2 linked regions of the Xenopus tropicalis genome follow. The protein of the gene in region 1 interacts with the protein of each later gene in a pairwise test. Links are inferred from orthologs where the notes say so. Each region holds a gene or a part of one and is shown on either strand. Other genes may lie near its edges.

Region 1 (3,834 bases):
ATGTCTTGCATTTATTTATTTTTTTCATTCCTGTATTCATGTTTTTCATTTTGTGTGCATTTTGTCTCAAATTTTCTGGGCTGACTTTAGAAATTGTTACTGATTTTGGTAAGCAAAGATTTCCAGAAGAAGGCTGATTTGCCACTACAGAAGGTTAACTGCACTATTTATCTTCCAGTATGGAAAATAAATCTTACTGATGGCACTTCTTCCACCCGTTTCCTTTTCTTCATCAACACATATGAGCAAAAGTTTGCCAAAACGCTTGAGTGTGACCCAGCTGCAATCAGTAGATAGAGCTTTTAACAATGTTCAAATGTGCAGTGAAAATCCAACACTGCACACACTCCAAAAAGCTTTATGCAGTGGTGCTTGAACCCCTTATGTTCTTCCCCCAGTCAGTTGTATATGTGTGTACATTTGAGTGCACTTTTACACTTCAGAACATTTAATAAAAGTAATAGGAATAATCCTATATGTTAGAATGGATGAAGGGAATATATATTTATAATGTAAGGTGCGTATCGCTGCCTGCTATAGGTATCCTTGTAGAAACAATGTGTAATAAATATACGTGTGTATATATGTATATATATGTGTGTGTGTGTGTGTATATATATATATATATATATATATATATATATATATATATATATATATATATATATTATACTAGATAACGAAGAAGCCGCTCTCACAGGACTTATGTACAAAACAAATAATCTTTTTATTAACTGGTGAACTGACGTTTCGCCTGAAAACCTCAGCCTTTCTCAAAGTTATATAAAGTTATGTATGTGTATGTGTGTGTATGTGTATATATATATATATATATATATATATATATATATATATATATATATATATATATATATAATATATATATATATATATATATATATATATATAATATGTCAAAGTCTCAACAGGCACTCACTTTAGAACTCTGGCAAAATGCCTGGGTGCAGTCCATAAAATGAAAATAATGTAACAAAAATGCAAGGTATATATATATATATATATATATATATATATATATATATATATATATACGTATAAATAAATGTCAAGTTTAAAAAATTATAAAAAAAAGTTATAAATAGTGCTTGTTTATGTTTTTGTACATTTGTTAAGACCATCTCTTACCATAAACAGCTAAATGCATCATTGAGAAGTACAGAATCGGAAAAGAAACAGTTGTATGATAACCTCTCTGATGAAATGAAAGTCAAAGAACAGCTTTTAGGTAAGTTAATGATTCTGTACAAACCACATATGGGAAAAAACACAAGTCTTTTTTACCTTCCCCTTCAGCATCACTTGAGACTCCAGCATATTTTTTACAAATCTTAGCTGCATGAGTGAGGGGTTACTTAATAAGGGACTGCTGTTGAAGTATGCATATAGTGAATCTGGTTCATACTGTGTGGGTGCAAATTTACATTAGCATACAGACCTCCTTGCCAGAAGTGTCTGTAGAAGGTTACTGCCTTCATAAAAAGTACTTCAGATTGTACAAAGCTGGAAATCCCCATGTGATTAATACACTGGGTTACATTCCCCCCGCTTCTCAAATATGAACATTTTTCTATTTTTTTCCTATATCTACTTACATATAGAATTTGAACCCCATTATGTAGCATTTTTTCTTGGCCTCTGTGTTTCCAGGAAAGAATTGCCTGGCAAGTACTTGAATAAGAGCTTTCAAGATATTCTCACAGAGGGCAACAGAGAGCAATTTCAGTCATGTTTGTGTGTGTGTGATTTGCTTTATTGCCCTATGACCAAATAATATATTCCCAATTTTAGCAGACATCCAATACTAGTCTGTGTATAAATAATGGTTATGCAGATTACTTCTCTCCATATTTTTTTTCTCTTTTAAGGAAACGTATCTATTGGCACTGGTAAATGTATTACATTGCCATGTTTATTACATACATGTTTCTTTTCTTCTGTCAGAATGTATTAATAATCTTCAAAATACTAAGCAGTCCCTGATCTCTGAAAAGGAACAGCTTGAAGGAGATGTGGAAAATATGAAGCACAAAATGAGTGTGATGTCAGAAATGTATCAAGAAAATGAAAAGAAACTTCACAGGTATAATGTTGCATAGCTACAGAAACTGACATTGGGATACTACTGTAGCAAAATCAGAGCAGCTTTAGGGTACAGGTATAGGACCCATTATCCAGAATGCTCGGGACCAAGGGTATTCCGGATAAGGGGTCTTTCCGTAATTTGGATCTCCATACCTTAAGTCTACTAAAAAATTAATAAAACATTAATTAAACCCAATAGGATTGTTTTGCATCCAATAAGGATTATTTATATCTTAGTTGGGATCAATTACAAGGTTCTGTTTTATTTCTACATAAAAAAAGGAAATCAGTTTTAAAATTCTGAATTATTTGCTTATAATGGAGTCTATGGGAGACAGGCTTTCCGTAATTCGGAGCTTTCTGGATAACGGGTTTCCGGATAAGGGGTCCGATACCTGTATATGCAGCACAAGCACAACAGATAGTCATAGAAGCAAGTTACTACAGTAAAGTTGTTAAAAGGACATACATTTTGCTTCTAGCTTCTCTCTCTCTCATAAATAATATCAGTATGTATTATGGTATCAGTCATGTGATTGGTGTATGTAGGGATCTGTTTTTGAGATTTACTTGCAAGACTACGTGCTTCATGCTAGAGTTTCTAACAGATGCATATATTATTGATCTCCTATACTTGAAATTTACAGACTATTGTACAATCATATACAATGTGACCTAAGCACACAGTTTTTAAAATTGTTCACACACAAATGTTTTTGAGCACCAAACCAAGAAGAAATTAGAGGGAACATTGGTCAAATACAAAGTTAAATTACATGATGAGTATATGAACTACTTGCACTTTAATGCATGGTGTGCCAGTAATTATGCACTTTCTATTTGTGTTGTGTTCTATATTTGCATTATTATCATTTCAGAAAGTTGACCGTGCAGGAGAAGGAGCGTATTCAAAAAGAGGAGAAGCTTTCAAAAGTAGATGAAAAAATACATTTGGCAACTGGGGAACTTTTGACTGTCAAGTAAGAGAATAAAAATACATAGATAAATCCTAAATAGAGTTATAAGCTTTGCCATGAAAGGATTTTAATGTTTTGCCCTCTCATGTCCCCAACAGGACACGGGTGAAGGAACTGGAAGATGAAATTGAGAAAACAGTCTATTCCTACCAAAGTCAGGTCTGTTACTTTTGTTGAACTGCATGAAATACTTGAAGACATTTTGCTATGGCTGTATTTTTAGCAGGGCGTTGGAGCGAATCCAAACAAGGCTATATTTACATTGTGGTCTTTCCAGCTGCTAGTAATGATAAACAGCCATTATAGGTAAAAAAAAAAGAGTAGAAAGATTGCCAGCACACTGTTTCATCCCTTATAAAATGAGAATTTCACTTACCTCTTATCGTAAATTCCATTTCTTCTAGTCCCGACATGTCAGTACGCATGGGCAGTATTGCCCCCACAGCTAGGAGGTAGGACCTATATACCAAAGCCAATCAAAATTAGCCCTTACCTATAAGACCATGTGACTTCCTCCTCACCACTGTTATACATTTGCCAAGCAATACAAGAAGCAAATATTTGGGATGGGAAACCCCGTACTGACATGTCGGGACTAGAAGAAATGGAATTTACGATAAGAGGTAAGTGAAATTCTCATTTTCTTCTTCGTCCCTTCCATGTCAGTACGCATGGGATCTACCAAGCCATGCCCCTAAAATATAAGGGGTGGGAACAATAATATCAACAGATGCTAAAAACAAATCAAGCATCA
Region 2 (3,715 bases), on another chromosome or scaffold:
CAGACCGGTTATCCCTGCCGATCCCACAGAGTCTGTGTTCTATACTCCAGCTGAGGAGAAACCTCAGACCATTGAGACGGAGCCACCGGCACCCAAGCCCAAGGTGAAGAGGAAAGACAAGCAGTTCAAAAGGCAGAGAATGGCTAAGAAACGCATGTGATGTTTGGGGGGCCGGGTATTGGGGGAGGGGGTATTAGCACGGGGTATGGCTGTTTTGTATATTAAACCTTATCCTAAAAGCTATTCTGCTGCTGTATGGGTGCTTTTCATTCTTTATTCTTAATGTAGATTTAGGTCATAAACAGGCGGCTGGCTTGTGGGGCATTTTATTTAACGCAGAAAACACTGTATGTTCCCATAGATGGATGGAGCCAACTAAACTAAGTAACCAATGATAATATATTGCCTGGCACAAGCATATCTGGCTCCTCCGCCAGCACCAGCGCTTTGTATCCGGATTCAGCAGTTAGCGTTCAGATTCCCAATGCACCTTCATGATTAATGACCCAAACAGAAGGCAATGACGCTCTTGGCAAAACAATGTTTTTATACTGAAATAAATACAAAATCTTGCATGATCTAGCATGATCTGGGGCACAGCAGTAGAAAGATATACATTTGGAGTAGGAAAGACTTATCTGGATATCCTGGCTACTTGTTGCCTTTCCTTGCTTTGCAGTCCAAGTCTCATAATCCCACTTTATTCCCAGTAGGAGATGTTCAGATATTCTGCATTCCTTGCTGTTCTCAGTCTCCAACCACTCCAGACCTGGCAAAAAAAAAACATTTTTTTTTTAAATTTTTGTGCGCTCCACACATTGTTGTCTGTGCTGAATTGCCAGGCAGCTGGGCCAGTATATAACTTACCTCTTCAGTGTGGTGAGGAGATTTTGTGTTCCTTTGGTTTTACTGTGCTGGGATCCATACACTGCAACCTGAATGTCTGAGCACTGGAAGAATAAATGTTAGTAGGGTGAGTGCATAGTATTGCTGGCTGCACTGTATGTGTATAGGGTCATAGCACTGTGGCTGTAGGACAAACAATTCAACCTACACATTATAGTAACTGTCACTAAAACTTGTGCCTTTTATATGGTCACAAAACCACAGAATTCCCTGTATAACTCAGCCTGCAGCCTTGTGCCTTTATATGGTCACAGAATCCCTCAGTGACTTCTAATATCCTTATTTACAGTAGGGTGTACATTATCCCTTATAATACATGAGTAATATTCCCTGTATAACTGCCTGAAGCCCTGAGCTATACCCCCATATTAAGGCACAGTAAGGCACATTTACTTATGCATGGTAAAGCGTTTGGTACCATAATATTCTCTTAAATGTATGCATTAACTCCAACCGGACTATACACTGATATTAACTGCTGGTTGGTTGCTATGGGTTTGCACCATTTTGCTGTATAATCTCAATATTTTGAGGAGACCCCTATACAGCAAAATGCGCTAGTGTGGCTATGGCAAGCTGCCCTGTAAAGCATGGGGAACTGCTAGGCAGTACTGTATGACCATAGTGTGGTTACGAAGCCAGTGGTATCGCCAGTCCAAAGAACTGAGCAGACACTTCCATAAGAACTGACCTTTTTCAGCAGCTTGTAGCCTTTCTGTATCTTCCCATCGGCTAAGCATATGCTTCCCATTATACTAAGGATCTCAGCCAGCTCTTCACTAAATTCTGTCTCCGTCCTGACGGCCCCTCGGAGCAGCTTGTACGCTTCCTGCAGCCCAAGACAAATGAATATACAGCAAGTCCTACATCTCAGTGGGGGGGCTGGGCAGCGTAACAGACATAATGGGAGTGCAGGTGTTTAGGCTACAGATGGGGGTTGCAGGTTTAACCTTTCTGTTCCAATGTCCCAGCATCAAAGATCCTGTGAGTATTTAGCAGCCAATTTATCACAATATTATAGGAGCCAAATGGCAGCAGTGTTGAACTGGGGCCCCCAAAGCTCAATAGGAGTGCCTGGAATGCAGGGCCCGCTCTGACACTAATTAGGTGCAGAAACCACTTGGTGACACTGCTGTTATATATTCTTGTGGGGAAGATAAAATTGCCTGAAGGAAACCTTTCAAAGCTACTACACTGTGGCAGGCATCTGCTATTCAAGCCCTTTAGTCTGACCCCAAGCAGAAGATTTCTTTTCTCACTCTAGCAGCCAATCGGGTCAGGTGACTTATAACTAGGCCCCCCTATAGTCAGATCTCAGTCTATTTAGAATGTGCAATTTGCCCTCATATAGGAAAATGATCTAGGGGCACTTATTTTGCTGCTGATAAAACAAGTGTAACTCAAGGGATGTAGGAGAGAAGTGTGGTCCACGTTGGTAGGGGCATCAGTGCCCTGGATTTCCTGTGTGGACCAACTTGCCTTATTAAATAACCCCACATGTATAAGTTGTGCCTAGAATGGCGAAATTGCCCCACCAGATCAGTGTAAGCACAGCAAGCAGTTGCTGGGTTGCATTAATCTGACTGACCTGTGGCCCAATGAGTCAGTTTCATGCTGACCAATGAAAAGAGGGGGTTATTTGTCAGCCATATACATTTCGGTCTGGTTTCACCAAATGATCATGAGAGGGTGGTGAACATGTGATACAATGAACCAGTCCCATGGGAGGCTGGCCACCCACTGTAGGGAGATGTAGGGGCAAGGCATGCCATGCATTCCTACCTGCTTCTTCCCAATCTGGATGAGCCACTTGCTGAATTCCACACAGGCATTCAGTGTCCGGGGGTCATCAGGACCTGCCGCTGTTTGGTAAGCGCCGAGGCTCTCTGTGAAGAACCTTTGTGCTGCCTCTAATAACAGAAACACAGCCTGTCCATTATATGGCGTCTCCCGTGCTACAGATACCACTGCTCTCAAACCTACAAACCTACTCACGTAGCACTTGTTCCTGTGAAACAACACCTTGTAGGGCCTGTTCTATGTATAGAGCCTTGGTGCCACCTTATTATTATTATTAACATTTATTTATAAAGCGCCAACATATTCCGCAGCGCTGTACAATAAGTGGGTTTCATACATTGGACATACAGAGTAACATATAAAGCAATCAATAACCGATACAAGAGGTGAAGAGGGCCCTGCCCAAAAGAGCTTACAATCTACAAGGAGAAAGGGTTGAGACACAAGGTGTGGGAATGGGCATGACCAGAGTTGTGAGAGGTGTGGCACAGGGTGTTGCTAAACTAGATTAGGGTAAGCTTCTCTAAATAAATGTGTTTTTAGAGATCTATTGAAGGCAGAGAGATTGGAAGAAAGTCTGACAGTTTGTGGGAGTGAATTCCAGAGAAGGGGGGCAGCCCTTGCAAAGTCTTGAATGCGAGCGTGTGAGGAGGGAATGAGAGAAGAGTTGAGGAGCAGGTCAGTAGGGGGGTAACAAGCGGGTTGGATGGTACCTAGAGATAAGTTCAGAGATGTAGGGTGGGGCAGAGTTATGAACTACTTTGTATGTGAGAGTCATTAGTTTGAATTTTATCCTGGATGGTAGGGGAAGCCAGTGCAGGGATTGGCAGAGTGGCACGGCAGAGGAGGAGCGGTTGGAGAGGTGTATGAGCTTGGCAGCAGTATTCATTATGGACTGGAGAGGGGACAGTCTTTGGAGGGGAAGGCCAATTAATAGGGATTTACAGTAGTCCAGGCGAGATATTATAAGAGAGTGAATAAGAATTTTGGCAGCATCTTGGGTGATAAA

What was found.
Region 2: the proteins of mia2 (region 1) and ttc23l interact in binary tests that used the Homo sapiens proteins (3 or more experiments, as listed by UniProt). The two-hybrid records come from large-scale screens. The link is inferred for Xenopus tropicalis from reciprocal best matches to the Homo sapiens genes MIA2 and TTC23L.

Annotation. Positions count from the first base shown.
Region 1 is NC_030684.2:90,883,749-90,887,582, forward strand, and holds part of mia2 (melanoma inhibitory activity protein 2), read left to right. Parts: intron 1-1,155; coding exon 1,156-1,246; intron 1,247-1,962; coding exon 1,963-2,101; intron 2,102-2,981; coding exon 2,982-3,083; intron 3,084-3,178; coding exon 3,179-3,239; intron 3,240-3,834. UniProt on the Homo sapiens protein: Plays a role in the transport of cargos that are too large to fit into COPII-coated vesicles and require specific mechanisms to be incorporated into membrane-bound carriers and exported from the endoplasmic reticulum.
Region 2 is NC_030677.2:199,192,530-199,196,244, forward strand, and holds the end of ttc23l (tetratricopeptide repeat protein 23-like), read right to left. Parts: intron 2,817-3,715; coding exon 2,689-2,816; intron 1,736-2,688; coding exon 1,598-1,735; intron 951-1,597; coding exon 868-950; intron 770-867; coding exon 748-769; 3' UTR 527-747; downstream 1-526. Other genes in the region: brix1 (ribosome biogenesis protein BRX1 homolog), read left to right, coding at 1-160.